2 linked regions of the Pelodiscus sinensis genome follow. The protein of the gene in region 1 purifies or fractionates together with the protein of each later gene. This does not show direct contact. Links are inferred from orthologs where the notes say so. Each region holds a gene or a part of one and is shown in the gene's direction. Other genes may lie near its edges.

Region 1 (11,957 bases):
GGCGCACCCCCGGGCCTGCAGTAGAACCCCAGTGACTGCTCGGCACTGGGATACCAGCGGCACTGAAATTAGGGTTCGTGGTCCCATGGCACCGTCCTCTCCCTTCCGCCCACCAGGGCCAAGTGTTCTGGTCAAATTACAGCCACCATTATTCCTCCCTGGCTCCCTACCATCCTCCTGCAGCCAATGCAATACAGGACTCCTCTTCCCTGCCGTCACGCCCCACCCCAGACGCAGAGGCCCCTCAGTATAGCCTCGATCCCTGCATATACTGAAGCCGGCTGTGTCTCAGGACTGGACGAAGGACTCTCCCCCGCCCCAGCACACACAAGCATCTGCCAGACTCACGAGTGTAGGAGTGAGTGGTGCCTGTACAAACAGCTGCCACCTTCCACCCCAGAGGTGGCTGCAGGTCAGCCGTGGCTCGCAAACAGCTCTGGGATGGAAGGGGCGATAGACACACTATCAGAGCCCCTCCGGGAACTGCTCTAGGCTGGTCTCTCTGTAGCGTGGACGGCCTAGCTCCGCCACGCCTGCAGCTGTACTCACAGGTTGAAATCCCAGCGCCCACCATGCAGACGATGTTCCTGCCTGCAAGATCAGAGAGGGAGGCATCGGATCAGAGTGCTGAAAGCCACGTGGGAACCAGCCCCACGCTCTCGGTGCAGGTTCTTGGCAGACATCACCGCAGCCCACGGCCCAGAGCTTATCCCTCTAAGAGCAAAGCCACGTGTCCCTGCACTCCTGACCCCTGCTGGGCTAGAACCTGACCTGCAGTGTCACGCAGGCCCCTCTGGACTCAGCATATCCCTGAGCGGAGCAGGGGGCCTCTCAAGCTGGCATCGAGGCCCCACTCCCAGCCCGCAGCAGGCGCTGCAGTACAGCCTCTCCCCAACTTACGAACCGGTGATGGACCAAACAATCAGTCGTAACTTGGTTTGTTTGTAATTCGGACCCCACAGAGTTACACACGACCACGCTGTTCCTAACATGGATCCCGTTCGTAAGTGCGGGGTCCTGTTCGTAAGCGCGGGGTCCGCCATTTACAACAGCTTTGGTCGTAACTTGGGTCCCGTTCATAAGCGCGGGGTCCCGTTCGTAAGCGCGGGGTCCCGTTCGTAAGCGCGGGGTCCACCATTTACAACAGCTTTGGTCGTAACTTGGGTCCTGTTCGTAAGCGCGGGGTCCCGTTCGTAAGCGCGGGGTCCACCATTTACAACAGCTTTGGTCGTAACTTGGGTCCTGTTCGTAAGCGCGGGGTCCCGTTCGTAAGCGCGGGGTCCACCATTTACAACAGCTTTGGTCGTAACTTGGGTCCCGTTCGTAAGCGCGGGGTCCCGTTCGTAAGCGCGGGGTCCACCATTTACAACAGCTTTGGTCGTAACTTGGGTCCCGTTTGTAAGCGCGGGGTCCGCCATTTACGACAGCTTTGGTCGTAACTCGGGGACCAGACGTATGGCAATTCTCTGCTTCACAAGCACCTTGGGAAGCAGATACTCCCCAGAACAGCCTTGAGGTTGCTCGGACTCTGGGCCACTCAACTTTGGAAGCCCCAGGAGCCAAAATGATACTCAGCACATGCGGAGGGCTGCAGCTTAAGAGTGGCTGCATAGACGTGCAAATATACATGCAAATAGCTTCTTTCGCACTGAGGGGCATGAATACAAAGCTTAAGGCAAGACTACACAACACCCCCCCCCCATCTAAGTCAGCTCTGCTGCTATTAATAAAAGGCAACGTTTACCCGATCTCCACCCATATGACAGCACTTGTACTAAGCAACGACAGTCCAGGAATTGAACTACTAAAACGCAGCTCAGCAGACGAGCGTTCTATGGACTCGCCGTTGTGGAGCGTGTTCCCAGTGGAGGCCATGTTCAAAGGATCCCACTCGGGGGCGGGCTGCAAACAAATGGGCTATGGGCCGCCCGCCGCCCGTAGGCCACGTATTGAGTAGCCCCGCTCTAACTTATACCAGGGCCCATAATACAAGTAGCACAAGGGAGGTTTAAAGCCACCCCCAAGCCCCTGTCAAACCTGCCCCCAGCACCAAGAGGGAGCCCATGGAGACTGGATCCCTCCCAGCAGCTCAGAAGGGGTGGGGTGTACGAATGTGTAAGTGACACCTGTGCCCCTGCTTGTAAGTTACACCAACATGGAGTCCCTGCCACATCCCTTGGTCTGCTCCAGGCCTGCCCCTAGACAGCCCCGCTAGCCCACAGCCTCTCCCTCAACCCCTTTCCCTTCCCACTGTGAGGGGGGAAATCAGGATGAGAGTCGCTCTGGTTCAGTCTCAGAGCAGCTGCCTCCCAAGAGGGGACCCAGCTTACACTTCTCACTCAGCATGAAGCGGCTCACACCATCTAGTGTCAGCTCATCCAGCACCTTCTCCGGTTTCTCACTGCCCAGGCCCAGCGTCCGGGACAGGAGATTTCGCAGGAAATCCACTGAAAGGGAGAGGACAAGCAAAGTTAGCTGTGTATTCCTGGGCTCTGGTCCCAGCTCTGGGAAGGGAGTAGGGTCTAATAGTTAGAGCAAGGGGACTGAGAGCCAGGAGGCCTGGTTTCTAATCCTAGCTCCACGGATTTGCTGAGCAGCCTTGGGCACGGCAGTTCTCGTCCTCGAGCCTCAGTTTCCCCCTCAGGACTCCATTTCCCAATGTCACAGAAGGAGGTCGTTTTGAAGGTTAGTTAATATTTAGAAAGTGCCTTGAAGACTTAAAAGGGAAAAGAGGGTGTGTGAGTGCACTGGGAACGACAGGAGAACCCGGCACGGACGGAAGGGCCCATTGTTTAGGTTCAAGGCACAGCTCTGCAACTGACTACTCGTGCGAGGAGTCGCTGGGGCCTGGCGTATGTTACACGCTTCAGTTGGCTGGGGGTGTTCACACCCGCTAGTTGACACAGCCGTGCTTAGCAGAACCCGCAGTGCAGACAGCAGAAAAGCGTGCCTGTCTGTTTAAATAACGTCTTTTGCAAAGGTGGTGTCACCGGACTGGCCTCAGTTTCCCCTTCTGTGGCACTGCCCTGCCTCCCAGGGAGTTATGGGAACAAATATGTCAGAAACAGAGGCTTTCAGAAACTACAGCGACAGGGGCCTGAAGATAATTGAGAAAGATTATTCAATCCCAATTCCAGCCACAGACCAATTTTTGCCTCGAAGCCCGGACAGAAAGAGCTGGTTTAACGACAGATGATTTACCCCTATTCACGTTAATCACCTGAGGCATTAGGCCCCCCTGAGAGGAAGGAACAGGGATAGATTGACAGACCCAGCAGGCTCTCCCAGGCTCTCCCCTGTGTATCATGCTACTCGGCCGCCCCATGCTCCCCATCCCTTCCCCTACAATACAGCACAAGTTACCTACTTTCAGACTCTCCAGAAGCACCACCGTTTTCCGAGTCAGAATCAGAGTCCTGAATAACAGAAAAAACACACAAAGATCAGACAGTTAAGTTCATAGGTTAAGTAAGCCAGCGTTAATGCAGCCAGTTAAGTAAGCCAGTGTTAACGCAGCCGGTTAAGTTCATAGGTTAAGTAAGCCAGCGTTAACGCAGCTGGTTAAGTTCACAGGTTAAGTAAGCCAGCATTAACGCAGCTGGTTAAGTTCATAGGTTAAGTAAGCCAGCGTTAATGTAGCCAGTTAAGTAAGCCAGTGTTAACGCAGCCGGTTAAGTTCATAGGTTAAGTAAGCCAGTGTTAACGCAGCCGGTTAAGTTCATAGGTTAAGTAAGCCAGCATTAACGCAGCTGGTTAAGTTCATAGGTTAAGTAAGCCAGCGTTAACGCAGCCGGTTAAGTTCATAGGGTAAGTAAGCCAGCGTTAATGCAGCCGGTTAAGTTCATAGGGTAAGTAAGCCAGCGTTAATGCAGCCAGTTAAGTAAGCCAGCGTTAACGCAGCCAGTTAAGTTCATAGGTTAAGTAAGCCAGCGTTAACGCAGCCGGTTAAGTTCACAGGTTACGTAAGTCAGCATTAACGCAGCCGGTTAAGTTCACCGGTTACGTAAGCCAGCGTTAACGCAGCCGGTTAAGTTCATAGGTTAAGTAAGCCAGCGTTAATGCAGCCAGTTAAGTAAGCCAGCGTTAACGCAGCCGGTTAAGTTCATAGGTTAAGTAAGCCAGCGTTAATGTAGCAAGTTAAGTTCACAGGTTAAGTAAGCCAGCGTTAACGCAGTCGGTTAAATAAGCCAGTGTTAATGTAGCTGGTTAAGTTCATAGGTTAAGTAAGCCAGAGATAACGCAGTCGGTTAAATAAGCCAGCGTTAATGTAGCTGGTTAAGTTCACCGGTTACGTAAGCCAACGTTAATGTAGCCGGTTAAGTAAGCCAGCATTAACGCAGCCGGTTAAGTTCATAGGTTAAGTAAGCCAGCGTTAACGCAGCCGGTTAAGTTCATAGGTTAAGTAAGCCAGCGTTAATGCAGCCGGTTAAGTAAGCCAGCGTTAACGCAGCAGGTTAAGTAAGCCAGCGTTAACGCAGCCGGTTAAGTAAGCCAGCGTTAACGCAGCCGGTTAAGTAAGCCAGCGTTAACGCAGCCGGTTAAGTTCACAGGTTACGTAAGTCAGCATTAACGCAGCCGGTTAAGTTCACCGGTTACGTAAGCCAGCGTTTATGCAGTCGGTTAAATAAGCCAGCGTTAATGTAGCAAGTTAAGTTCACAGGTTAAGTAAGCCAGCGTTAACGCAGTCGGTTAAATAAGCCAGTGTTAATGTAGCTGGTTAAGTTCATAGGTTAAGTAAGCCAGAGATAACGCAGTCGGTTAAATAAGCCAGCGTTAATGTAGCTGGTTAAGTTCACCGGTTACGTGAGCCAACGTTAATGCAGCGGGTTAAGTTAGCCAGCGTCAATGTAGCAGGTTAAGTTCACCGGTAACGCAGCCCGTTAAGCCGTCTTCTGTGTTTTACTGGCTAGTGTTAGAAGCATCTGTGTCTGTGGCAGGATCCTCTGAGGACTGGGACAAAGGCAAACCAGGACTCCTGGGTTGTGCTGCAGGAAAGGGGCCTGGTCTCCAGATACAGCAGGGAGATGGTAGAGGAGCCAGGCCTCCTGGGTTTTAGCCCCAGCACTGGGAGGGAAGTGGGGTGGGGGCTCTCGGGGTCTGTCCCTGGCCCTGGAGGCGAATGGGGTGGAGCAGGTTAGAGCAGCGGGCTGGGGGCCAGGACTCCTGGTTCTTTTGCAGGCAGGCTGTGGTGGGTGGCCGCTCGAGAAGAAGGGAAGGGGTTAGCAGAGAGCCCCCGCACTGCAAAGGGAACCCGAGCTGCGCCCCCTACTCACGGGAGAGTCCGCGCCCCGCTCCGCCTCGCGCCCGCCGGGCCCCGCAGCTGGGACAGCAGGGAGAGAAGAGACCCGAGTTGCTGGCGAAAAGGGGGAGGGAGGCGCGCTGCTATGGGGGGGGGCATTGGGGGATGGGGGGGGCTGAGCCCACGGGGGGGGCGTTGGGGGATGGGGGGCGTTGGGGGATGGGGGGGCTGAGCCCGCGGGGGGGGGGCGTTGGGGGATGGGGGGGCTGAGCCCGCGGGGGGGGGGCGTTGGGGAATGGGGGGGGCTGAGCCCGCGGGGGGGGGCGTTGGGGGATGGGGGGCTGAGCCCACGGGGGGGGCGTTGGGGGATGGGGGGCGTTGGGGGATGGGGGGGGCTGAGCCCGCGGGGGGGGCGTTGGGGGATGGGGGGCGTTCGGGGATGGGGGGGGCTGAGCCCGCGGGGGGGGCGTTGGGGGATGGGGGGCTGAGCCCGCGGGGGGGGGGGCGTTGGGGGATGGGGGGGCTGAGCCCGCGGGGGGGGCGTTGGGGGATGGGGGGCTGTCCCGGGGGCGGGGCTATCCCGCTAGTCACCGTCCCGCTCGGCCATGGACCCCGGCGCCCGCCCCGCTCGGCTCCGCCGGACCCGACTGCGGCAGGGAAACGGGCCGCCCGCTCGGCAGAACTACATCTCCCGGCGTGCCCCGCGCCCCCGCCCCGCCCCTCCTCCCGGCGTGCCCCGCGCCCCCGCCCCCGCCCCGCCCCTCCTCCCGGCGTGCCCCGCGCCCCTGCCCCCGCCCCGCCCCCCCTCCCGGCCTGCCCCGCGCCCCTGCCTCCGCTCCCAGCCTGCCCCGCGCCTCCGCTCCTCCCGGCGTGCCCCGCGCCCCTGCCCCGCCCCGCCCCTCCTCCCGGCGTGCCCCGCGCCCCTGCCCCCGCCCCGCCCCCCCTCCCGGCCTGCCCCGCGCCCCTGCCTCCGCTCCCAGCCTGCCCCGCGCCTCCACTCCTCCCGGCGTGCCCCGCGCCTCCCCCCTCCCAGCGTGCCCCGCGCCGCTGCCCCGCCCCTCCTCCCAGCGTGCCCCGCGCCTCCCGGCCTGCCCCGCGCCCCTGCCCCGCCCCGCCCCTCCTCCCAGCGTGCCCCGCGCCTCCCGGCCTGCCCCGCGCCCCGCCCCGCTTCCCGGCGTGCCCCGCGGCGGGCGCTGGGGGGGCCATGGCGGAGCCGGCGGGCGGGGCCACGCGGGCCGAGGCGGGCGAGGACGGGGACTGGTGCGACAGCGGCCTGGGCTCGCTGGGGGAGGGGCAGCTCAGCCTAATCCAGGAGGGCCTGGCCGTGACCTCTGACCCCTGCCCCCCGACCCCCGACCCCGCGGGCGGCCCGGAGCGGCCGGACTCGGCGCTGGGGGCGGCGGAGGAGGAGGGGGGCGGGGCGCTGGGGGCGGTGACGCGGGGCCTGGGCTCCGTGCGCGTCGCGGACCCCCCGCCCGGCCAGGGCCCCCCCGAGGCCTGGCTGCGCCACGTGCTGCGCTTCGTCACCGAGGACGGGGACACGTAAGTGGGGGACCAGCCCCCCCCGGGCCTGTGCCCCCTCCGAGCCCCGCCCCCCCGGGCCTGGGCCCCCTCCTAGCCCCGCCCCCCCGGGCCTGGGCCCCCCCTCCTAGCCCCCCCCCGGGCCTGTGCCCCCCCCCCGGGCCTGGGCCCCCGTCCGAGCCCCCCGCCCCCCCGGGCCTGGGCCCCCGTCCGAGCCCCCCGCTCCCCCGGGCCTGGGCCCCCGTCCGAGCCCCCCGCTCCCCCGGGCCTGGGCCCCCGTCCGAGCCCCCCGCCCTCCCGGGCCTGGGCCCCCATCGAGCCCCCCGAGCCCCCCGCCCCCCCGGGCCTGGGCCCCCGTCCGAGCCCCCCGAGCCCCCCGGGCCCCCGTCCGAGCCCCCCGCCCCCCCCGGGCCTGGGCCCCCGTCCGAGCCCCACCTCTCCCCCCCCCCGGGCCTGGGCCCCCGTCCGAGCCCCCCGCTCCCCCGGGCCTGGGCCCCCGTCCGAGCCCCCCGCTCCCCCGGGCCTGGGCCCCCGTCCGAGCCCCCCGCCCTCCCGGGCCTGGGCCCCCATCGAGCCCCCCGAGCCCCCCGCCCCCCCGGGCCTGGGCCCCCGTCCGAGCCCCCCGAGCCCCCCGGGCCCCCGTCCGAGCCCCCCGCCCCCCCGGGCCTGGGCCCCCGTCCGAGCCCCACCTCTCCCCCCCCCCGGGCCTGTGCCCCCGTCCTAACCCCCCCCAGGCCTGTGCCCCGTCCAACCCCCCCCCCCCCATCCTGGATTCCAGGCACTTGGCTTGTGCCCCGTCCAACCCCCCCCCCCCCCCATCCTGGACTCCGGGCGCTTGGCTTGTGCCCCTGTCCTAACACCCCCCCCTTCCCCCCCCGCCCGGCTGCCTTGATATCTCAGTGCTGTCTCCATCGGCCGCGGCCTGCAGTCCCTGGTGTCCAGTTTCTGGGATGCTTTAGGCATTAACTGTAGGAATTCAGTCACTGTTGGCAGCTATTCTATTGCCCACACTCCCAGGAGTTTTACACCCACCTGGTTTCCCTGCTGCACCCCCAGCTCCTTGCTACTTGCTCTTTGCTGACTAGATCGATTCCTCTTCTTGCTATTGCTTCCCTTTCATGGGTGGCATTTCCAGCCAGTTGCAGGGTACTTATTTATTTTGCTTGGAGTGGTGTCTGTTCTTCCATCCCCAGAGCCCTCCACTTGGCTGTGATTCATGAACACGAAGCCTTTCTGGATTCTATCCTGCAGTACACGGCCGGGACGGAGTACTTGGATCTGCAGAATGACCTGAGCCAGGTTGGGCCAAGACTGGAGCTTTTTCTGTCTGTAGTCTCTGGCAATTGCAGTGGGGAAACTGAGGCACAAAGAGCCACATTGGTTTGCCTGAACATTGTACAGCCAGTTGGGGACAAAACTCGGGAGTAGTGGCTCCTAGTCAGCTTCCTACACGATATCGCCCATGCCACCTCCTGTAGGGAGTGATTGGGTTGCTGGCAGGAAGATGAAACACAACCACATATTAATTCCTCTGCATCATAAATGAGTTGGGGGAGCAGGGAAGAGTGTTACGGAGCACAGCAGTCTTTCTGGAGCAGGGAGCTATCCCTCGCTTTGTGTCTGTATAGCATCTAGCATGCTGGAGATGCTCCTGCAAGCAACTGATAAATGAGACACTAATATCCAAACACATCTTCCCCTGGATCCCCTGATGGCTACCTGTTCCTTCTCTCTGGCGCTGGCCACTGTCGGAAGACAGGGTGTTGGACTAACTGGAGCTTTGGTCTGCTCCAATATATGGCCGGGGAATGTAAGGAAGGCTGGGGAATTGACAGTGGCAGTGGACCAAAGTAAACGGGGCCAGGGAGGGCTTTGTTTAAAGGGTGTAAGGTGGTCGCGCTCATGCCAGGCAAATCAGCTGCCTTCCATGTAGCTCACGGTGCAGAGGAAGGACAAGACCGTGTCGGCTCCTGTGCCTGGGTAGTAGAGACAGCTTTTGTGTGAATAGTCGTGTCCTTGACTAAAATTTCTGACCTGCTTGTGCAATTGGCCACTGCCTGCCTGCCCAGAGGTGGCTGCTTTTCAGCGCTGCGTCTGGAATATGGGGTGTGACGCTATTAGGGTGACAGCCCATGGAAAGAAGCGATCTGTAGTGGTGTTAGTAGGCCGGGCACTTTTTAGGGAAGATCAGCCACAGAGCTTTCTGACCTGTCTATCTCGCTGACCTTCCCCAGACGGCATTGCACATTGCAGTCATCCTCGGTGCCTCCAACTTTGTCCGCAAGCTGATGGCAGCCGGGGCAGGGCTCTGCGTGCAGGAGAAAGGCGGCCACACGGCGCTGCACCTGGCATGCCGGGAGGGCTGGCGGGACTGTGCACAGTGGCTCTTGGCATCGTTGAGCATGCGCAGATCCTGTGAAGGGAGTGACGCCAGGGCTCAGTTGGACTGCACCAATTATGATGGTATGGAGCCTCTCGTCACCCACCTGGGAGTGTTACACGTGGGACCTTTGTCCTGAGCATGCTGTGTCCTTCCCCAGCCAGCATGGCCAGAGCTCTCTGTGGCCCAGTTACCCTCCATTTCCCTCAAGGCTGTGAAGGGCTGAATATGAATAGAACAGCCCCAGAGAACCCCAGAACTTGGCCACTGCCGAAGTAGTTTCAATGCCCATTTCTTTGCATGTGGAAGTGGCTTAACTTAGGGCGTGGCCTACTACTTTGGGGGTGAAAAAACCAAAAGGCAGCATGCTGGAGAGATACGTAGTGTGCGGTGTATTCTATACCAATCCTCTGACACTGCCTTGACAACAGCCAGCTGAGAGGGGCCTGGTCAGAGAGTTACTTCTTGGGTTGATCAGGATTGTCTGCTCTCGGTTCCCATAGGTTACACGCCGCTGCATGTGGCTGTCCTGCGGAAGGATCTTGAAGCAGTCAAGCTCCTGGTGAGCGCCGGAGCCAGTCTCAACAAGGCGGTTAGTGCAAGGGCGGATCGTCTATGGAGAGGGGTGGCCAGGGATCAGAAGGTATTTACCCTTCTCAGAAGTCTCTTTCTTGCTGACTGGTCTGTCCACCACTGGCAGGAGCTGAGCTGTGGCCGGAGTCCCCTCCACTTGGCAGTGGAGTCTCAGAGCCCGGAGGTGGTGGAGTACCTGCTGCATGCTGGAGCAGATCCGGGGGCCCGGATGTATGTTGGTTACACCCCCATCTACAGCGCCATGCACAGGCCCAACCAAAAGATCTTGCAGCTGCTCCGGGAGTTTGGCTCGGAGGAGCCGGACTGGGATTCAGAGGACAGTTCAGATGACAGCAGCGACGTGAGTGGGGTTGGGCGTGTGCGCTGGCCTAGCGGTGCAGGAGGGAGGAGTGCAGGCACCCCCTCGGCAAAGCCAGGCCAAGCTTGCAAGTGGCCTCATCTCTGCTCTAGAGCCACCCCTCCCCCTGTAGGAGGCCTAGAGGGCAGTGCTGAAAAGCCATTGCAACGTCCCCCATGTGTAGGAATTGGCAGGTCTCAGCCTGGTTCCTAGTCCTCTGTGCCACCAGCCCCCCTCCGCTCCTGGCAGGCCCCTCCCCTCTGACACACAATGGGTGGAGAAGCTGCCATTGGGTTTGACAGCAGAGAAGCCAAAGGGATCTTTTCCCCAGCAAGAGATTCTCTTTTCAAATGGGTCGAGTTCCCTGAGTCTCTGGTCTACGTAGATTAATGCAGAGCAGGGTGCGCTCTGCCTGGGTCGGTCTGTACGTACCTATGCTGCGGGGGGGGGGTGCCGGGGCTCTGCGGTGATTTGCGTCTGGAGTTGACGCAGGAGACTCAGAGGTACTGCTGAGCCTAGGGAGCTGGGACTGAGGCCTGGCGCAAATCAAGCCCGGCGAGCTGGCAGAGAGAAATTTGACAGTAGCTGGCTCTCAAAGGTTTTCCGTGATCCAGTTGCTGGAAGTTGAAGCTACGTACAGGCAGATGTGTCTAGCTCTAAGGGGTTAATCTGAACAGAGTAATTAGTCCTTAACTTTCCCAGGGCTGTGGTGTATTCTCCATCGCTGGCAATGTCCAAATCCAAATCGGAGCCCCCCCCAATATCTGCTGTAGCTCCCACAGGAGCGAACGCAGGCCAGTTGTGTGGCCTGTGTCACACAGGAGGTCGGTTGATCGCTGTTGTCTCTTCTGGCTTTAACCGATGAAGCCGTTTGATCCTGGCCCTCCCCACCTGCTCCGTAATGATCCCTAAACAGGCCCTTGCCGTATCTCGGAGGTCATCAGCAAAGCTCTCCTGTTTCTCAGGAAGAATACGACGACATCGTCATCAACCGTGGACGCTATCAGAATTAATGGGGCCGGCCCTGCGGCGCCTGCAGCGTGAGCTGGCGGCCGAGGAGCCCCTCCAGAAGAGACTCGCAGCCTGCCCTGCCCTTGTGGGAAGCAGCTCCGCAGAAGCTTGTTCTCAGCTGGATCGGGCTCTCCAGGAGCCGAGTTCTGTGGCAGCACAGAGCTGCTCCCTGGAAGCGGTAGCTGAATGCCGTGTTCGTTTCCTTCTCTCTCCACGTAGGCAGTCGCAGCCAGTTACCTTGATTCCCTTACAGTAGAACAGGCATTTCGGCAGCTGGGCTAGAGCGTCGGCCGATTGCCCTGCGGAGCCGCTTGCCATTTGCTTTCGGAGCGGGAGCGGTATCCCTGCCCACATGAGGGGTGTCACTGGGCCCCACAGATGTTGCTCATGTAACTAAGCAGTTCAGCTCCCTGCGGAGCTGCACCGAGCTGCGTTTCTGGCAGGGTTTGCGCGGCCTTTCAAAGACCTCGGCCTGTTTACCTCTTTTATGTTGAGAAGCACTGAGCACCGCCGAACTGCTGCTAGCAGAGTAGTTGGGGCCAAATTCCTTTTAGCTGCTCCCATCCTAGCACCTGAATGAGACGGGAGGAGTTTTGCAAGTGCCCTGCAGACGTGGTCTGCTCAGCTAGCTGTAAGGACAAAGGTGCGTGAGTGCACCTGGAAATCAGACCCGAAGCACTGGCAGAAGGCCCAGCAGCCCAGAGAGGGAATAGCTGGAGTGTGGGGTTGCTGGATTGAAACAGGTGGGGCGGGGAGGAATCCGCAGGAGGAGCTGAGGGGAGACGAGGCTGGTGGAAAGACTGGGATGGCCTGTTATGAGCAGAGGGGGAGAGCGGTCTTCAACGTCCCAAAGGGGGCGGAGCAAGATGCTGGAA
Region 2 (12,481 bases), on another chromosome or scaffold:
GAACCATTATGATCATCTAGTCTGACCCCCTGCACAGTACAGGCCACGGAATCTCACCCACCCCCCCTAGAATAATCCTCTCCCCTATATCTCAGATATTGAAGCCTTCAAATACTTTGAAGGCCCCAGATGCAGAAAATCCTCCAGCTGTGATCTGTGCCCCATGCTACAGAGGAAGGCGAAAAACCTCCAGGGCCTCTGCCAATCTACCCTGGAGGAAAATTCCTTTCCGACCCCAAATATGGCGATCAGCTAAACCCTGAGCATGTGGGCAAGACTCACCAACCAGACACCCAGAAAGTTCTCTATAGTAACTCCTATCATCCCTCCATTGACCTATTTCCCACTGATAATGAATGGTCAATTAGATACCAAGATCATGTTATCTCATCAAACCATCCCCTTCATAAACCCATCTAGTTTAATCTTGAAAGCAGATAGATGTATATTGCTTTCCCAAGCAGCAGCAGCTCAAAGACTCGTGAGCTTCGCAGTTGCTATTCAGAACTTTGTAGGTAGAAGTGAAATCATCTAAATCTTTTTGCTACTGCTGCAGTTCTCCCAAGCAGAGGAGGCAGATACTGGAATTGTCTTAAGGAGGAGATGAGTTGACCTCACCAAAAAGGAGATGGAAGGAAAAAGTAGAGCACCAAACACTTGATGGAAAAGAAGGTTCCAAGCTTACAGAACCTGGAGACCAAGACATCTCTACAATCAACTATCCAGAGAGCCTCAAACTTATTTTCTAAAGCACATGCTCTATGAATTATTTTGAGGAATTTCTCACCCCCATATAGCACAGGCCACAGACTAGATGATCACAATGGTCCCTTCTGGCACTGAACTCTATGAAACAGAACCTAGGGACAGAAATCCCAGTATCCTCAGCCATCTCAGCAGTGGTGTTGGTCAGTGAGCTTTTCACTACAGTATTAACCCTGGAATTCTCCCAACTCATATGCAAACAAGGGGAGAATGGTAGTAAGATTCAGGAGAAAAACACTTAACTAACCTTAATAGCAAGGCTCTATTTTCTCTGCAAATACTTTTTCCACTGACCTTTCTGGTCCTTCTAGCTCAGGACACAAACAGCGTTGCACGTTTGAGCAACTGGAACGTTGCTCAACAAGACAAGTAGAGTTAAGATTTGGGATTTAAATTCCATTAATACAATTGTAAAGTTAAACAATTATTCAGCATGCCATAGTCTGACCCTTGCCTAAAAAAAAAATGTAATTTTTCCACTATTTGTACCTTTCTGATTAAGATGATAACAGGGGAGGTTTCTTAAACAATCAAATCAATAGTAATATTATTGCAGGTTACCAGAGCCTATAGTACCAGCTAAGACAGGGGTGGGCAAAAGGGCCTCTGTGGGCGGGATACAGCCTGCCAAACAAGTTAATCTGGCCTGCGGAGGCCCTGCCACATCCCTCACTCCCAGGCCAATTAGGGCCTGTGGTCAGGGGGAAAGTCCGGGGAAGTCTCCTTCTGCCCTGCAAGGGGCTCCACACTTAAAGTTAACCACCAGCTGCTGCTCAGCTGGTTGCTGACTCTTAAGTGCAGAGCTCCCTTGCAGGGCAGGGCACGAGAGACTTCATATGCTCCCCCTCCACAGGCCCTGATTGACCTGGGGGCACCACATGAAATCTCCTCCCACTGCCAGGGGCATGGGTGCCTAGAGGGACTGGCCATCTGTTCAGAACAGCTAGGAGTTCTCTCTGAGGGGTCAAAGACTTTGCGTGCTCCTCCATCCCCAGATCAATCAGGATTTGTAGGTGAGGAAGCACAGGAGTCTCCCGGCCCCGCCACTTCAAACATTTCTGAAGTGGCCCCCAGTCAAAAATTATTGCCCACCCCTGAGCTAAGAGGACTGGCAAATCACGGAAACATGCATCTTGGAAAAGGAATACAATTTGAGACAAGTTTCTAATTTAGTTTACTCAAATCACACACTTGAATAGTCTCAAATGCATACAGAGTCATGCGCTATGCACACTCATTGTGTGTGTACAAAATTCCGGATACATGCATTCCATTATAAATGAGGAAACAATTTATTTTGATATAGGCAATAAATATCAGGTATTGAGCTTTACAGACGTCACTTCTAAACCAAAGACGGGTAAAAGGAATTTGACCTCACCAGGCAAGCCTGAAGTTTCAAAAAACCACAAAGCTAATCTGAAAGATTCCCAATGGATGAATACTTGTTTCAGGATCAACTTAAAATACATACATGAAAAAAGTAATGTTTTTATTTTAATGCCTCTTGCAGGCTAAGATCAAGTGTAATATCTGGTTTTTTAAGAATGACAGAAGTCAACTTAAAAGAATGGCTGTTTGCAAAAGCCGAGAGCTAACAAATAGGTTTTAATCACAATTTGGCTCTGGGCATAGCAATAAAAGTAGCAATGTGAGAATTAAAAAAAAAAAATCAACATTATTATACCAGTTATCCTTTTGGACATACCTGATCACTACTAAAAGTACTGATCCAAACAAAGATTACAAACAGGACCTATAGTTCTGTAAAAATCAAGAATGCTGTTTTCTCTCTTTCATCCCTCAATCTTTGTTTTATTTTATTAAAATAAGCCAGGGAGAAAAGTTTTCCAGGAAGCTGGTGTTCAGTGAATTAACTCTTTAAGCAAAGAGCTAAATAGGTCACTAGTCCTAAAGCTATATCCTGGTTAAACAAAAATCTTAGTTTAGTGACAGCTAAGGCTGCCTTTCGACATACTCCACCCATCTGAACACCTTAAGAGCATGGAAATAAAGTAAGGGAACCCCACCTCCTGTATTGTGTCACCTTTACCCTGCCAAAAACACTATCAACATAATGCTCCACCAGATGAGGAGGAGCAATATCTACACAATGAAACTGGCAGCCTTATTACTGTATTAGGTTTGTGGGAGTTTCCTAGGAGGTTGTGAGGGAAAGGCGGAGGAGGGAGGGAGGGAGGGAGAGCTAAGACAGGGTTGGTGGTTGCAGTAGCCCAGGGACAGCCTGAACCTGGCACCTCTCCCCTGGCCCCAGACTCCTCCTCAGACTTCTGCATCCCACCTTCTGCCCCAGCCCCGAGCCCTGCCACTCTCGGCCCCCGCACACGGCTGCTGTACGCACACTAATGGGGGGGGGGGCGTGCTGCGCCCCTCCAGCAAGAGTCATTCTGCGCGGGGGCGGCACCACGCAGAGGGGGGGCGGCTGCCAGGCACAGGGCAGGTCCTAGCCGGGGTGATTGTCACCCCCCCGCACTCATTGCTCGGGGTCCCCAGCCAAGGGGGGTCTCGCTGCAGCGCCCCTCCCCCGCCGCGGTGCGGTCTCCGGGCGCCAGGTCACCAAGAGTCCGCATGCGATGGGGGGGCTGCGGGCAGGGCGGTCCCCGCGGAGGGGGGGCAGGTGCCAGCGCGAGCCCCCCCCAGCTGTCACTCACCCGCCGGCCGAGGCCCCGCCCCGCCTGTCTAGCGCTCGAGACTCGCCTCTCGCCGCCTCCCAGGCCCCGGCGCATGCGCACGGCCCCCCCGCCCCGAGAACAAACCGCCGCCCTCCCCGCCGCGCGCCGCCCGGGCCCGCCTCACCCGCGCCGCGCCCCCGCCTCCCGCGGCTCCGGGCGGGCCGGCCCGTCCTCGTCGGCCCCGGCCGCTCCCTCGCCAGCGCGCTGCGCTCTCCTCCCCCCGCCGCTCCGGACACTGCGACGGCCTCGCCGGCAGCAGGAAATGACGCCATCACTCCGCGGCCAATCAGCGGAGAAGGCGGGGGGGGCTTCCCGGGATGCGAAACTCCTAGCCAATCATAGGGCTCCGTTCGTTGCCCTTCCCGCTTTGAGGTGTCGGCTTAGCCAATCGGCCACCCGTTTGCTGAGCACGTCTATCAACAAGCCCTTTGCTGATTGGACAGGCCCTCCAAGAACCAATCAGAATGTGTTTTCAATCCAGGCCCAGGCTCTCGAGCGCCCTCTGCCGCCCAAGCAGCTCCCAAGAGCCCCAGCGCCCCCTCCCGCGCGTTCATTGGCCTGGCAGGCCTGGGGCAGCCGCAGAGCGCCCGCAAGGGACCCGCTGCCTGGAGCCTTGGGGCGGGGCGGGGGGCGGGGCCCCCTGCTTTCCAGGACAGGGGCGCGCACAGCCTGCAAATGCATTGGAGCAAAGGCTGCATGGAGCCCAGTCACCCCTGGGAGAACAAGCCAGAGGGCTAGAACCCCCCCGGCCAACCACTAAGGCACAGACACGCTGTCTGCAATGCGTGGCTACTCTAGATCGCTCCTTTCAAAAACGACATGCCATGCTGCATGCCAATTTGTAATAGTTCTTTGTCTCCCCTCTCTTTGGGTCTTCAGCAGGGTTTGAATCCCAGACCTTTTATTAATAAAATCCCAGGCTTTTATTATTTGAACTGAAAAAAAGGAATAATTCCATTGGCTGGTGGCAGCAGGCTCCATCCTCTTGCACGAACTAGCCAGTGGAGAGGAAAATAGGTTCACATTCTAGTAAGCGCATGAGTTTCTTCTTTCTATTTATCCTTGCAATGTGCAGTACCAAGGTCTTCCAATGGATGCCAGTAATATCCCAAATGGCATCGTGCAATATAGGCCAAGGAGGAACAGTGGTAGCTCCTAAAGGATTTTGCAGTCTCCAATTCAAGTACCTGTATAGTGCAGCTTATTTTAAACAGAAATAATACAGTGTCTTATTTTCTCTGTACTATCAATTTTCCTTCAGCCATGGGGTACAAAGTGACAGATTGAACACAGGCTATGAGAATAAGAAAAAAATAATTGCTATCAGCACCAGCCGCTCTGCCATATGTATTGGACAAACCAGACTGTCTCTACACAAAAGAAAAAAAAAAAGCAATGGTCCTGCAGCATCTTAGGCACTAACAAAAAATGTAGATGGTGTCTACAAAGTGGGCACAACCCACTTCTTCAGATGTTTCTATTACAGACCAACATGGCTACCCCTCTGAAATTTTTACACAAAAGAATACATGGACACAAATGAGACACCAAGAATGGTAACATACAAAAACCAGTAGGAAAGCACTTTTCCTTCTCTGGGCACACAGTTACAGACTTAAAAGCTGCCACTCTTAAGCAAAAAAAACTTCAAAATCAGACTGCAACATGAAACTGCTGAGCTGGGACTCACATGCAAACTTGACACCATCAGAATGGGTCTGAATAGGGACTGGGAATGGCTTAGCTCAGTACAAAAAGTAATTTTCCCCTTTAGGTATTCTCACCTTCTTATCACTGTTGGAAGGGGGCTACATTCACCCTATTGAATTAGCCTCGTTAACACTTGTCACACTCCCATCCCTGTATGTAGATATCTCCGCCATCTGATTCTTTCGCTTCATGCATCTGACAAAGTGAGCTGCAGCGCTAGTAAATTTGGTAGTCTGTATGCCCTGGAACTCCTTGCTGTTCCTATTCTACATGTTTTGTTAGTTTTTAAGGTGTCACTAGTCTATTTGTTGTTTTTTAAGTTGTACCTGTTCTGTCATTCTTGCCATGAGGTGGTAAGCGGGCAGTCCTAGGAAGGTCTTCAGAAGTAGAGATGTAAAAGTCCATTTAAAATGTTAACTGGCTAAACTATACATTTAAGGTTAAAAGCCAGGTTTCTTCAGCACAGCTGGGCACAGTTAACCCGGTAAGCGTGCTGGTCAGGCAGTGCTTACAGTAAGAATAAGAATGGCCATACTGGGTCAGACCAGCCCCGTCTGCCCACAGTGGCCAATGCCAGATGCCCCCAGAGGGAGGGAACAGAACAGGGAATCATCAAGTGATCCCTCCTCTGTCACCCATTCCTGTTTCTGACAGAGGTTAGGGACACTGTCCCTACCCATCCCGCCTAATAGTCATGACGGCCCTAGCCACCATACATTTATCTAGTTCTATTCTGGAACCTGTTAAAGTCCTGGTCTTCCAGCACATCCTCTGGCAAGGAGTTCCACAAGTTAACTGTGCTCTGCCTGAAGAAAAACTTCCTTTGGTTTGTTTTAAACCTGCTGCCTATTAATTTCATTTGGTGACCCCCAGTTACCGAGGGGGGGGGGCTGCTCAGCTCACCCCTTTACGTCGCTATTTACAAGCCTGCCCCCCCCCCCAGTGGATGCCAGACCCCGCCCGCTCTGCAGGGAGGTGCGTGCACACGCGGGCCCGGCCCAGGTTTCCCCGCGCAGCTGGCGGGGGCGGCGCCAGCTCCGCTCAGCGCCCGGCTCTAGGCGGCGGTCGCGGCTGCGTCTCCAGCCGGCCACGAGGAGCTGCGCCATGGCCGCTGCCGCCAGCTGGAGCTACCGGGGGCACCCCCTGGAGGCGCAGAGCGCCCCGCTCGGTAAGAGCCGCGCCCCGGCCCCCAGCCAGCCTCCCCGCGGGGCGGCTCCCCGTGCGCTCCGGGCTGCGCCTCGCCCCGTGCGCTCCGCCGGGTGCCGCTAGCGGGGGGATGTGAGCCGGGTACCGGGGGGGGGGATGTACCGGGCGCTGCCTGCCCGGGGCTCTCGCCCGCTGCTGCAGCCCAGGCCCCGGGATGTGCCGCGGGCCCCCCGCTGCAGGGCGGCGCGTCCCCAGCAGCGCGTCCCGGCTGTGCCTCGCCAGCAGCGCGCCACTTCGGCGGGCGAGTTTCATCCTTGCTAGCCCCCTCCCCGCCCTGAGCTTGCAGAGCGAGTCCTGGGGGTCTCTCCCCGGGCAGGCTGCAGAGCCGCCCTTGCGAGGGGGAAGCCTGCCCCGTGGAGGTGGCCTGGCCCAGCCGGTAGCGGGGGCCTTGTGCGCACGGGATGGCTGGTACTGCACTGGCCTGGCAAGGGCCGCTGGGCTCCGGTTGCGCAGGCCTGACAACATTTTAACCTGCGGGGAGTCCAAGAAAAAAACCAGCATTTTAGCTGCTTAAAAATGACAAAATAGCCCCCAATGAAAGCCCGCCACAGAGGACTGCAGCTGGAGGTCAGTGTTCTGCGGGGCGGCCGCTGGCCTGCCTTTGCCACCTAGCACAGGGTGGGTTGTGCGTTTAGACCGTGCCGCTAGAAAGCAAAGGAGCATGTGAGTGAGTGATCCCTTTGCAGTCTGCAGCCCCGGGGTGCATGGAACAGTGTATGAATTGTCTCCCAGTGCTGAGGTCCTGTTCAGGGAACTGGCAACATATTTACATTCACCGATCCGGAGGCTAGAAGGGACCACTCTGATCATAGTCTCACCCCTTGTATAGTAGAGGCCAGAGACCTTCCCCAAACTAACTCCTAGAGCAGAGCTTTTGGGTAGAAATAATTCTAGCTGGATTTCAAAATGGTCAGGGATGGAGAAATTGTCTCCTTTTCAGGGTCTGTTTCTGACTGTGTTTGCACAGCTCTAAGCGAGCCCTTCTCTGGGCTGGGGCAAATAGTAGACTTTCAAATCATGGGTCAAAACATCCTTCTTTAGCATCAAGCCTTGCCATCTTAGGGGGCAACTCGCTGACGTCTCAGATGTAGGATGGTAGCAGCCCTCTGTTTGGTCTACAGTCTTGGTACAATAAGCTCTGTCGATGGTTGGACATTGACTGGAATAACCATTTCAGGGTCAATTATTCCACAGTAGATACTCCAGAATAACTTCCTGGGGCCATAAGAACAGTCGTTTTACTCCAGAATCATTAGCTGGTTTCCAATGGGGAGTAATTATTCCAGAATAAAATCATTTGTATTCTGAAATTAACTCTGAGCTCATTCAGGCTCCCCGAAATTCTCATTAAGAGCTAGAGCTGTAAAAGGGTAACAGGATACCTGGTAAGCACAACCCTTATGCTTACTGGTAGCTGGTTAAGTGGCACCCGGCCTGAGTAGCCCCCTGCCTGTGGTGATCCTTTTAACCAGTTAAATGTGTATTTCAACCGGTTAACCTTTTAAACAGCATTTTACATGCCTGTTACAAGTAGCTTCTCTCGGCACTGTTGCCAACATTTTTGTTTTGAACATATAATTATCTGCACTGCTTCAAATGCTTTTCCTTACAAATGTATTACAGTTCAGTTCTCTAACGGGAAACTGCAGAATTCTGAAAACATGGATTTTACTTTGTACAAAAACAATGACGCTACTAATCCCAGAAAGAAACATCAAAGAATCTTGGTAAGTTTGTCTGTCATTGTACCCGAGTTCTACAGTGATATATCAGGTTCCTGGTTATTGCTAGCTATTTGTTTTGGTGAACCAGGATATTTTTGCCAAGAAGTATTGAAATATATGTAAAGGGGCACTATTTGCTACCCTGCCTCTTAACAAGTCATCTGTTATTTTGAAATATTTTTCAAAATAACAGGCGTACTATTTCGGCATCCCTGTACCCTTGTTCCACGAGGTTTAAGGGATGTCTCGAAATAGCACGTTATTTCAAAATTTGGCACTGTCTATATGCACCAAATTTAAAAATAAACCATTTTGAAATAGAATCAAAATAAGATAACAGTTTGCATAGCGCAAATTGCGTATCTTATTTTGTGTACAGTGCTGTGTAGATGCACCCTAGACGCAAAAAAATTATGTATATTTTTATAAGCTGCTACTGTTTACAAGTATAACACCTAAGATTACAAGAAATTAAAGATGCTGTATGGGTGCAGAATGTATCGAGATACAGTGAATAACACATTTTAGAAGTTGTTAAACCTTTTGCTTCAGGTTTTAAGCTATCAAGAGAGCTCGAATGTGGTGGCAGTTTTGTCTCTCATCTGCTATTTTAGACTTCCTCTAAAGTATTTGGCACTGCCCACATTTGCAGACAGATATTGGACTAGATGAATTTTGGGTCTCATCCAAGTTTGTAAATTCCTGTGATCCTGGCGTGAAGGAAAATCTCTGTATTCGGGTTTTGCCTTTGATACCCCTTTCATAGACAGTTATTCACTGGTTCTTTTGTGTAAGGAGATAGGCATGGAGCCCCATTTTCTCCAGTGGGGCTGTTTAAGATTAGGCTGCTATGGAACCGATTGCAGGAACAGGGCTTTAGTTGGACTGTTGGTTTTGGGCCCCGTCAGTGGGTTTGGCTGGACAGGTGTTTAGTGGGCTCCGCCAGCAGTGGAGAGGAAAACATTAAAAATGTGATTGTTAAGCGTCATAAATTAGGAGAGGGATTTAAGTACGATGTAAGCGGGCATAGTAACTGAAACAGTTTTTAACCATCATAAAAAATAAGTAGATTCCAAATTGGTGAAAGTAGCCAATGACCCCTCCATGTGAATTACAATCAAAACACAACCCCCAACCTTTATCCTGCCCACTTTCTGGTATTTTCTGAGACTCTGTCCACGCCTCGACTTTTATTTCCACTCGCGTGGCGGAGAGGCTGTTCTTAGCAGTAGAAATCAGATTGGCTCCAGGAAAGGTGGGAGCACCAGCTTTTCCATTTACACGGCTGCTTACAAGAGTGGGGCAAGAGGGAGGGAGAAGAGCTTTCAGTGAGCCGGCTGTCTGCCAGGAGGACTAGTCTGCATGCTGACACTTGGAACACCTCCCTTCTCTGCAAAGCTTGTGGTCTGGAGTCTGCAATACCACCAGATGTCAGTGTAACCTTTAGGAACAGGGCTGAGTATCCGAGCGTTGAGGGGTATGAAAGGCAGGTTTGGTTTTGTCAGGGCACTCCAAAGAACCTAACATCAGATAGCTGACTGACAATGTATTTCAAGATTTTGAATGCCACTTACTGTAAGGGCTGATGGGTTCAGTAATGCAGTACACCGCAAGTGTGAATTGCCTCGGTTAAATGCAAAATACCATTGCAATGATCTAGTTAAGGTTAGCAAATTAAACACGGTCATGGATCCTGAAGGTAATACTGATTGTTGCATGTTGCACACACTGTCTCTATTAGGCCATGTGGTTAACAGCACCCCTAATACAAAATAGAGCTAGTCTTTGCTAGCGATGTAAGCAACTAGTCAAATACCTGATAAACATGGCTTATCGGGTAGTTGAGTCAACTAGTTCTCCCCCTCTCCCTCTCCCCGCTGCCTCTGATACAGAGGCAGTGGGAGGAGGAGCTGGTGCTTAAAAGCTGGTTTCCCCTAGCACCATCTCTGCAGGGATGGGTGGCAGTGGAGGCAGAGGTGCAGCAGGAAATGGCATGAGCGGGCTCTGAAGCCGTCCCCTGCTTGTGCTGCTCCAGTTGCTGGGCCTCTGCCTTTGAAATGTAGCAAGAGCCCCGGGCGGCTCTTCCTACATTGGAAAGGCAGAGAGCATCCCGCCCTGCCCCGCCCCTTGGAAAGGCAGAGAGCATCCCGCCCCTTATCGACTAATTGATGGAAATTCCACCCACTACTCAATTAGCTGATTAACTGACATTTAACATCCCTAGTCTTTGCAGACTGGGCAGGTTGAGATGACTGCCGACACCAGGTTGCGTTTTCTGATTTCTCATGTGAACATTTCTAACCTTAACGTTTGCCTTGTTTGGTTTTTGTTATGATTTGAGGTCCCTTGTTGGAAAGTTTTGCTTGTGCTGGCTTTAGTGGAAAGACAAACAAACTAAAAGGCAGAAAAGGAAAAATCTTCCCTGAGTTATTGTGGAGTTGTGCGATTAGCACTACTGAATAGCGTTCACATGTGCAACCACAAAGGAGGTAGAAATTTTGTACTGCAACGTACACGCGTTCTTTATTTCAATAGGCTGTAACCCTATCAACTGTTCAGAGTGGCTGAATCACACTCGGCGTTCAGGATCAGAGATGAGAAACTGATCGTGCAATGAAGTTTTGAAGTTCAGCCATTCTTGAGTGGAAGCGCACATAAACAAGTCCAGTTTTTCAAGTGGGGTGTGCGCGCATGTGATCGTGTATGCTTGTGTGCATTAGCATTAAATTAAAATCACTGAATTAATTTTACTTGTGCTACCTCCCACTTACTCCCAGGAGCAAACTGGGAGTTGAGACAAACCAGCAATTTTCAGTCCTGGCGGAAAATTTAATTTTTAGGAAGTTATGAACAACTTATATAATGGAAGCTGTATGTAACTTTAAAGCATCTGAGAGAACACCTTAGATTTAATAGCAAGGATGGTTAGTTTTACGCATTTTTAGCCTTAACTAGTTACAGCATTTTTATTACAAACCGTCACTTTCAGGTTTGATTATTGTGGACAAGATGTGGTAGGTGTGTTTTTCACTCCAAAGTTCACGACCGTGAACGTGCTCAGAAGTTAACCAGAAATACTTTTGGAACGGTGAAAGCAATGACTTCCACAAACATTTCTTACCTTTCCTTTGAGGATGGTGAATGGGGAGGTAGCATTATTCACCAGGCTGGGCTTTCAGTCATAAGGATGGGATAGAGAATAAGACAGAGAGTATCTTACTGCCTCTGTGGAAATCCAGGGCACGCCCGCATCTGGAATACTGCGTACAGATGTGGTCACCTCATCTCAAAAAAGATATAGTGGCACTGGAAAATGTTCAGAAGGGGAGCAACAAAAATGATGAGGGGCGTGGAACAGCGGCCACTTGAGGAGAGATGGATAAGACTGGGATTTCTCAGCTTGGCAAAAAGAAGATGGGGGATAGGACAGAGGTCTATAAAATCATGACTGGTGTGGAGAAAGCAAACAAGGAAAAGTTATTTACTCCTCCTCATAACACAAGAGCCGAATGAAATGAATAGGCAGCAGGTTTAAAACAAACGTTCGGAACTCCTCGCCAGAGGATGTCGTGAAGGCCAGGACTTTAGCAGGACATCAACGGCTGTGAGCCAGGCTTGGGAGGATGGTGTCCGTAGCCTCTGTCAGAAGCTGGGAAGGGGCCACAGGGGAGTTTCATGTGAGGATTCCCTGTTCTGTTCACTCCCTCTGGGCAGCTGGCATTGGCCTGAGATCCTAGGCTAGATGAGTGTTTGATCTGAGCCTTTATGGCTGTTCTTAGGCAAGAAATGTGTTTGCTTCTAAGACTTTCATTGGGAAACAGACTTTTTAAATAGAATCGATGAGAACGTGTCCCTAAGAACAGACAGGATGAAAATGTCTCGATCAGAGACCTGGTATCGGATACCCAGGGGAAAGGGCACAGTGGTTGGTCAGAAAGTTCAGTGCTGGTGAAGAACGTGCGGCACAAATTTCCCACCACTCACGCGGGTTTTCGTTGTTTTCCAGACTGCGGAGACAGACAGGCTGTCTTATGTGGGGAAAAACTTTGGCGCGGGAGTCCTGAAATGTAACTCGCTGTGCAGGTATGTGGTGTGCACGGGGCGGGGGAAGCTGTTACTCTCGGTGCTTGTTCCCCCTCTCTGCCTTTCCAGAGGTGCTGTCTGCAGGAGTGCGGGGCAGGCTTTCAGAATTGCACAGCTGGTGCTGTGGCTGGGAAGGGAAGGGAAGGGAAGGGGCCGGTTTTCAAGGGTTCCGCATCTCACGGCGCCCATTGTTGTCAATGAGCGGTGCCAAGAGCTTCTGAAAAATCTGCCCATGCAGGGAGCGTGTTGCTCAGGGTAAGAAGAGTTGGGTAAATAAAAAGGTAAATAAACTCGCCGAGG

Evidence for each region.
Region 2: the proteins of NFKBIB (region 1) and POLR1E purify together in Homo sapiens (affinity purification with mass spectrometry; 3 studies listed by BioGRID and IntAct, counting the BioPlex papers as one, with this or other methods). This does not show direct contact. The link is inferred for Pelodiscus sinensis from reciprocal best matches to the Homo sapiens genes NFKBIB and POLR1E.

What each region holds. Positions count from the first base shown.
Region 1 is NW_027465946.1:249,433-261,389, forward strand, and holds NFKBIB (NF-kappa-B inhibitor beta), read left to right. Parts: upstream 1-6,357; 5' UTR 6,358-6,443; coding exon 6,444-6,781; intron 6,782-7,953; coding exon 7,954-8,059; intron 8,060-8,994; coding exon 8,995-9,223; intron 9,224-9,643; coding exon 9,644-9,732; intron 9,733-9,840; coding exon 9,841-10,074; intron 10,075-10,773; coding exon 10,774-10,929; 3' UTR 10,930-11,009; downstream 11,010-11,957. Other genes in the region: SIRT2 (NAD-dependent protein deacetylase sirtuin-2), read right to left, coding at 550-591, 2,331-2,447, 3,368-3,416, 5,274-5,320, 5,831-5,846. UniProt on the Homo sapiens protein: Inhibits NF-kappa-B by complexing with and trapping it in the cytoplasm.
Region 2 is NC_134716.1:786,046-798,526, reverse strand, and holds the start of POLR1E (DNA-directed RNA polymerase I subunit RPA49), read left to right. Parts: upstream 1-6,168; 5' UTR 6,169-6,272; coding exon 6,273-6,336; intron 6,337-7,997; coding exon 7,998-8,101; intron 8,102-12,104; coding exon 12,105-12,181; intron 12,182-12,481. UniProt on the Homo sapiens protein: Component of RNA polymerase I (Pol I), a DNA-dependent RNA polymerase which synthesizes ribosomal RNA precursors using the four ribonucleoside triphosphates as substrates.